2 linked regions of the Macaca fascicularis genome follow. The protein of the gene in region 1 purifies or fractionates together with the protein of each later gene. This does not show direct contact. Links are inferred from orthologs where the notes say so. Each region holds a gene or a part of one and is shown on either strand. Other genes may lie near its edges.

Evidence for each region. Proteins that work in one complex are often made in the same cells at the same time.
Region 2: the proteins of STK3 (region 1) and RASSF3 purify together in Homo sapiens (affinity purification with mass spectrometry; 4 studies listed by BioGRID and IntAct, with this or other methods). This does not show direct contact. The link is inferred for Macaca fascicularis from reciprocal best matches to the Homo sapiens genes STK3 and RASSF3.

Annotation. Positions count from the first base shown.
Region 1 is NC_088382.1:108,435,583-108,439,847, forward strand, and holds the start of STK3 (serine/threonine-protein kinase 3), read right to left. Parts: upstream 2,802-4,265; 5' UTR 2,620-2,801; coding exon 2,594-2,619; intron 1-2,593. UniProt on the Homo sapiens protein: Stress-activated, pro-apoptotic kinase which, following caspase-cleavage, enters the nucleus and induces chromatin condensation followed by internucleosomal DNA fragmentation.
Region 2 is NC_088385.1:71,262,137-71,266,106, reverse strand, and holds the start of RASSF3 (ras association domain-containing protein 3), read right to left. Parts: upstream 2,801-3,970; 5' UTR 2,780-2,800; coding exon 2,656-2,779; intron 1-2,655.

The DNA of each region.
Region 1 (4,265 bases):
GAGGGTCATAAAACCATGGAATGGGTTTTATGGGGTAGTACTCTTGAGAAAGAAAAGAGAAAAAATTAATCCACCAACTTTTCAATAGAAAATTTGATAGGCTGTAGTGACAAACTAGATGGGTTAATGAAAGAGTAAGACCTACCTTAAAAAATGAAAAATGCCAACTGAGCAGCAGCTTCTAGTCATACCCGAACATCAACAACATCGATAAGGCCATGTAAAAGTCAGCACTAAGGAAGTGTTATTCAAGGCAGAAAAGCAAAATGGCACTTTTATAGGCATTATGAGCAGAATAAGCAACAGAGACCAGGAGATTACAGAAAAAAGAGGACCACTACATCATGGAATAAGAAAGACAGTTTCGAAAAGAGCCATCACTGTATACAATGAGAGGGTGCACAGCCTTTGTAGCCAATCAGATGCAGAATTCTGGCACCTTCTCTACTTGATCAAGTTATTTAGCCTCTTTGAGCCTCATATAATAAAGAAAACATAAGTTAACAACTAACACTGTTGAACACATAGGGGCTTCGAATATATTGGTCAAATTTTATTTCTTAAGCTCAGTTGTGATACATAAATATTTATTAAATTAGTCCCCATTATCTTTTGTTGTTTTTGTTTTGTTTTTGTTTTTTTTTTTGAGACAGGGTCTTACTCTGTCCCAAGTGCTTTACATATCACCTCATTTAATCCTCACAATACATTTCCACAGATGGAAAAATTAAACTTAGAACTAGCATAATAAGTAGCAGTGCCAGGATTACTATTTCTTAGGATTTAAATAATGTATATTTAAATTTCCTGGCAAACAGGATGACCTCAAAACGAGTAGCTATATTTCATTATTAGGAGATAATAATCAATAGGGACAAAACTGCCAGTAATTCCTGTCATAGCCTTCCATGTGGCAAACTCCCTCAACATCCTCATCTATAAATTAGGATTAATGCCTATAATCCAACCTACTACATAGGGTTGCTGTGAGGATTAAATATTATGAATATGAAAATTCTTAAAATGTTGAGACATTCAAATATAAGGGATTGCTGTCACATACCTTTTGCCTTTTCAAAATGCCTTTGTGGCATTTTTGTTCACTACTTCAAAATAAGACTCTCTGAATAAGCTAAAAATAAGTATGTTAAATGTGCAACCACCACTTTGAAAAGTATAAATCACCACAGAATTACCGCCTACACCTGCCCCTGACTCCTCCAGGTTCTCTAATGTCTCTACAAGGGCAAGGATTCTCTTACACCTATAATGAAACTCTGATAACTTACAGTACAGCTAATCAATAGAGAGCTGCACTTCAATTCAGTTGCTCCAACGGCCTATTGTGTTTTCTCAGAAGTGCTCCTTCCAGTTCTTCCAGAAAAGAAAAAAGTGCCCAATTCTCTTATATTGTATTAAAACGGTGCCCAGTGAGTCGAATGCAGGTAACTTACGAAATGCTAGAAAATAATCTATCAGTTGACTTACTCAAGGGCTCTGACAGCAGGTCCCTTTTGGAAACTCCTTCACGACTCCCCCCTTTTTTCACCTGAACAGATGGCTTCCAGGCCTCAAGGTTCACTTGTCTAGTCATACAATTCACAATAGCCCCCAAAGTTCCTACCTTTTCAATTATCCTACGTTCTTGAACACACCTTTCATCTAAAGATCTCCAGCTGTCAAAGCAAACGATCTCTTTAATCTTCACAACAGCACTATCTGAGAGATTACTATCCTTATTTTAAAACTTAAAAATGAAAGACTGAGTAAATGTTTTAGCAACATCAGACAATTCGTTAACTCATTCTTGGGGAGAGAGGAATGCATATTATGAACTTCTGTCAATGGACAACCCAGATTTGGCTTCCTAACATCATCGCAAATATTAGCTCAAACACATCCCACTCTTGTATGCACACATTTCCAACACAGGTATCAAAGATTAAATATAAACCATTAATAACAGTAAATACCATACCAAAGCAGCACTATTTTTACACGCAAATCTATATTGGGGGAGGGGGTTCTAATTTAAACTTCCCACTGTCTTGAATCCATAAATACTTTTGAACTTGAGGGGTTAGGCGGAGTAACACCTGTCAGAGCAGCACATCCACAATGTTTTACAGACTGTGTAGCTATTAATATTTAATTCCTTAAGCCGTAAGCAAACCACCTTCTCAAAAAAAACAAAAGGCAGTATTATGCAGAACATTTGACAAGAAAGTCTACGTGGTTGTAAGAAGACCAATAATTCCCTGGTTTTAAGTCTCCCAGACTTTGTGAACTTGCTACGAGGGATCACCCCACCCGCCCCGGGAGGTCAGGCCGCAGGGAGCCCGGCGCTGCCCACCCGACTTTCCACGCGCCAGGCCCGCCGGCCGCAGGGGAGGCTCCGGCTCCCACTCCCCTCAGGCCCCCTCGCCCCGTAGACGGACTCGGCGGGACACTCGGACCCGCCTCCCGACCTCGGCGCGCCCGGCTCAGGGCCCGGCGGGCAGGGAGAGGGTCGCAGCAGGGCCTGGCCTAGCCACCCCCGCCCCGCGGCCGCCGGCGCCGCTTCCCTCCTTCTTCCCGCTCCCCGATTCGTTACCTCTTAGGCGCCGGCGGCTGCTCCATGGCGGCCGGGGGCAGAGAGAGGGACCTGGTGGACTGCGAAGGCCGAAAGGAGGAAAGGAGACCGGGCACCGGCTGGCCGAGCCTAAGGAACCACAGAGGGAAACTCTGGGAACTCGGACCAACTTTCCCGTAACTCCGCGGCGGATCTCCCTCCCGCTTCGGAGCGCTGCTCCTACCGCCCCGCCCCCGGCCGCCAGTCGCCTGCCTCCGGCAGCAGCCCAGAGAAGGTGGGCGGAGCCGGGCGCCGCGGCGGGGGGCGGAGCCTGCCGCGGCCTGGGCTGGCGGGCGGGGCTGGTGCCGCGGCGGGTGGGCGGGGCTGGGGACGAAGGCCGGGCTGACCCCAGAGCCCCGTGACCGGGAAAAGGAGGAGGTTCGGCTAGAGCGAGGGGGCGAGGCCGGAGCCGCTCTAGCCTGGGGAAGGGCGAGTCCCTCCGAGCTGGCCCAGTGCTCCGCCCCTCGCTTGCCCTCGATACGGTTTGCCCTGATCCAATTTGACTCATTTCTTTGGCTTTCCCAACGATACATCCAAACATCGTGTGAATCCGTTTGAAGTATTACTTTCTAACTGCCCACGCTTCCCTCTCTAGTTCTGTTTATAATTATCGGTTATGTTTTTCCCCCAGCCATTTGGCATGTGTAGGCCGCAGTACTAGGGATACTTCTGGAAATTCTTGTTTGATTTTTATTGTAGACAAGCTCCTCGCTACATTTCACAATAATTACATCTAATTACCGAGAAAATAATTAATGCAGTGAGATCTCTCGGTGCACCAAATTCAGTTGCACTGGGTCCTTGCAGCTGTCCCATTGGGTAACCTGGCAAGCCTGCACAAATTATGCTGCCAAGAAGAATACTCAAGAAAAGTGTGCTTGGTTCCCTCTTTGGTCCTCTCCCCTAACCTGATCCCAGTAGTCCTCATCCCATTGTAATTTGACCACTGCATGCATCCATATTGTGGGTATACTTTTAACCTTAAATTCCATGTATAGATACCTTTCACATAACAATATACAGCTGCTACATGAGTTTACCTGTTTTTGTCAGAAATTGTCAAGATGGGCCGGGCGCGGTGGCTCATGCCTGTAATCCCAACACTTTGGGAGGCCAAGGCGGGCGCATCACTTGTGCTCAGGAGTTCAAGACCATCCTGGCCAACATGGTGAAACCTCGTCTCTACTAAAAATACAAAAGTTAGCCGGGCGTGGCGATGCGCCTGTACTCCCAGCTACTTGGGAGGCTGAGGCAAGAGAATCACTTGAACCCGGGAGGCAGAGGTTGCAGTGATCCGGGATCGCGCCACTGCACTCCAGCCTGGGTGACAGAGCAGACCTTGTCTCAAAAAAGAAAAAGAAAGAAAGAAATTGTCAAGATGTAGAGTTATAAGAATTTTCTTGGCGGTTAGAACAATAAATATGAAGATAATGCTAAATAAAGGAAATGAATTTGAAGAGAATGTTGAATAATGTGAATATTTGCCCAGATTAAACTTGACTGTTAGCAGCTAATACAAGTTTAGTTTAGTCCTCTTGTTGCATTAAGTTTCACTATGTAATAAACTTACATTATTTATTTTCAAACCATTATATTCTTCCCCAAATTTAGTTATTTTAAGGCCATTCATTTTTGAAACTCAAATTCTGAGAAC
Region 2 (3,970 bases), on another chromosome or scaffold:
TTCTTCTGCCTCAGTCTCCCGAGTAGCTAGGATTACAGGTGGCTGCCACCATGCCTGGCTAATTTTTGTATTTTTAGTAGACATGGGGTTTCACCATGGTGGCCAGGCTGGTCTTAAACTCCTGACCTCAAGTGATCTGCCTGCCTCGGCCTCACAAAGTTCTAGGATCACAGGCATGAGCCACTGCGCTTGGCCTCAACAAAAAAACTTTCTTTCATAATATTGTGTATAAGTGAAAAGATTGTTGGAATCAGGCTATCAATCTCCACAGTAATAAGAAAACTAACAAGCTTTACTTTGGAAAAATAGATAATCAAACTTTCTAAGTATAGATTTTCTACTGATGAAAGCTTTAAGTAAAATATTCAGTGAGGATTCGTATGTTCATATTCTGTTACTTACTCACCATTGCTCTGTGGTGTGATAAAAAGAGCAGCACACCAAGAATTAGATAATCTGGGATAAAGCTCTGGTTGTGCCTATGTAATAGTTTTGGGAGGTTAAGGTATCTAACCTTCTGGAGGTAGTTTGCTCATCTTATTTTTATTTTTTGAGACTGAGTCTTGCTCTGTTGCCCAGGCTGGGGTGCAGTGGCGCCATCTCAGCTCATTGCAACCTCTACCTCCTGGGCTCAAGTGATTCTTCTGGCTCAGCCTCCCAAGTAGCTGGGATTATAGGCACCCACCACCACACCCGGCTAATTTTTGTATTTTTAGTGGAGACGGGGTTTCACCATGTTGGCCCGGCTGATCTCGAACTCCTGACCTCAAATGATCCACCCACCTTGGCCTCCCAAAGTGCTGGGATTACACGCCTGAGCCACCGCCCCCAGCCTTTTTGCTTATCTTTAAAATGAAGCAATTGGTGAAGATGATTTTTCTTAAGTTCTCTTGGGGCTCTAACATCCCAAATTGTGCTAATCCATATCTGAAGAATGGTACATATAAACAGAGACTTGATATTATCCCTATTTTGACAGTGAGAAAGAATGAAAAAAAATTAAAGAAAAAATGGATGATTGAAATGTCCTAGGCATTATATTTTATAAATTTCTTATTTCTTTTTTAAATGAATTGCATGTTTTTTTTTTTTTGAGACGGAGGTTCACTCTTGTTGCCTAGGCTGGAGTGCAATGGCGCAATCTCGGCTCACCGCAACCTCCGCCTCCTGGGTTTTCAAGCAATTCTCCTGCCTCAGCCTCCCAAGTAGCTGGGATTACAGGTGTGCACCACCACACCCAGCTAATTTTGTATTTTTAGTAGAGATGGGTTTCTCCATGTTGGTCAGGCTTGTCTGGAACTCCCGACCTCAGGTGATCCACCTGCCTTGGCCTCCCAAAGTGCTGGGATTACAGGCATGAGCCACTGTGCCTGGCCTGCATGCGTTTAAATAAATTTCTTAATCACGCCTTGGTGATTATAGATCATAATCACTTCTGTGTTTTTTTTTTTTTTTTTTTTTTTTTTGAGACGAAGTTTAGCTCTTGTTGCCCAGGCTGGAGTACAAGGGCATGATCTTGGCTCACTGCAACCTCCGCCTCCCAGGTTCAAGTGATTCTCCTGCCTCAGTCTCCTGAGTAGCTGGGATTACAGGCACCAGCCACCATGCCCAGCTAATTTTTTTGTGTTTTTAGTACAGACTGGTTTTCACCATGTTAGCCAGGCTGGTCTTGAACTCCTCATCTCAGGTAATATACCCGCCTTGGCCTCCCAAAGTGCTGAGATTACAGGCGTGAGCCACGGGGCCTAGTCTTCACTTCTGTTTTTAAAGGAGGATCTGGCACTGGATAATCTGGCACATCATCAGATTATGTGTGATAATGTATCAAACACATAATACAATTGATGTAATTGTTAAGCACTTACATAAAATGCTGAGCTATACGGGTGTGAAAGAAACATAATTAGAATTTTGATTCAGTTGCAAGATGAAACATTATGAAGTGAGAGAATTGGCTTAAGTAGTGTAAGTAGTACAACCAGTGCTGCAGAGTATGAAGGCGAAAGCTGGGCTCCTGCGGGAACTGCAGATACCAGACTTGGAGGGGTCATCTACTCCCTTTAACCCCCTCTCCTCTGACCCTTGCATATTCCAGTCAGGCAGGACTGGACAGAAAAAGCAGGGCTTTATGTGGTAGCAAATATAAGGTGCTTTAAATTCTCACATCAAGAAATACCTGACTAAAATGTGATGCATAAACTGACGCAAATAAAAGAGATTTAAGGCCCACTGACCTTTTTAGTTTCCTATGGAAAGGAGGGGAACTCATTGTGACTTATTTTTTGTGTTCTGTTTTATTCTAAGATGTTTTAGTACTAGGACAAGTTAAGAGTCCCTGAGAATAAGAGCTGTTTTTGTTGTTTTTAAATACTAAACATTCTTCATCTCTCTCTAGTCAACTTTTCGGAATCGAAATGCCTAAAAAGCATACAATTGAATTGTAACAGTGTTCATGGCTTCTAATACTTCAGCCTCAAAATGCTTAACTTTATTTTCTCTCAATTTTCCCCCCAGATGACCAAGTGGGAAAATACCTTTTAAAGGCTTCAAGACTTTTTTTTCCCACGCCTCCCTGCCCACTTGAGGGAGGCTCCATTTAAAAACGTAACAGAAAAACATGGGTTTGAAATAAGGCATTAGCCTGAGGTGACTTACCCCCACCTTGGCTCCAGGGCAGCTTGGATTTCTGATTCTTTGAGCAGGTCAGTGATTTGGGGAACCAGTAAAAGAGCCGCGCTATTCTTCTGAAGGTCTCATGAAAGTCACTTCTTATGGCCATAGTGAGAACCAGGAGAGTTCCAGAACGACTCGCTACAGAGAGCATGGATGAGGAGCATAGTTAACACCCACATATGACACTTTAGCTGTGAACTGCCTTTCAGCCAATATGTCTGGGGACCACCTGTTAGCCCTAAATCCCCTTCCTCTGTCATTCTTTTGGCTTGTCCTTTAGGCCTTGGCCCTCATAACTAGAAACTGTATTAATAGATGTTCTTTCTAAAGAAAGAGTTTTAAGCTTTTTTAAAAGAAGCTCTAACCTAATGCAACACTTGGTAATTTTCAAGCATGGACCTCCTGACCTCGTTCATAAAAACACAATTATTTTCATAGAGGAGTGAAAAAAAAAAAAACCCAGTATCAACTAACTCAATTTCCAACAGAATTATCAGTGGTAAGTTGCAGGACTTAGTGGTGATGGGCAAGCAATCTCCCAAAGCCGTAGCCTTGATCCCATTTGTTTTGTGCATTTTTACTGGATAAATGAAACCTATTTTAAACTTTGGCAGGAATTTATCCCAGAAAAAAAAATTAGTTCTTATGAGTCAAAAAATGTGTAAAAGTGCCAGGCACAGGGGCTCACACCTGTAATCCCAGCACTTTGGGAGGCTGAGATGGGAGAACTGCTTGAGCCCAGGAGCTCAAGACCAGCCTAGGCAACAAAGTGCTGTCTCTACAAAAACAAACAAACAAAAAAACAAAACAAAAAAGCTGGGTGTGGTGGCATGTACCTATAGTCCCAGCTACTCAGGAGGCTGAGGTGGGAGGACTGCTAGAATCCAGATGAAGCTGCAGTGAGCTATGATTGCACTACTGCACTCCAGCCTGGGTGACAGAGCGAGACTGTATTTAAAAAAAAAAAAAAGTGCAAAAGAACATTTTCCCCCAGGGTCCTATTTTGATCTTTAACCATTTATTGAACAATTCTCTAGAACTTCTAACATTATTGAATCCCTTTCAGCATTTCAGCAGACATCAATGCCTAGTTGTCTACTACGCAGCTCGCACTGAGGTTCCCATCATCACTCCTGAGACTATGTCTAACAGTTGGTCTTTGTGCCTTCTGTTTATGTCAAAAGAAATAAACTTATTCATATATTCATTTAGGAGTTAAGTCGCTTAAACAGCCTGATGCTTGCTTTTTATATGCCACAACAAATTTTTGGAGCTGATTTACTCTCTAAAGAGAAAC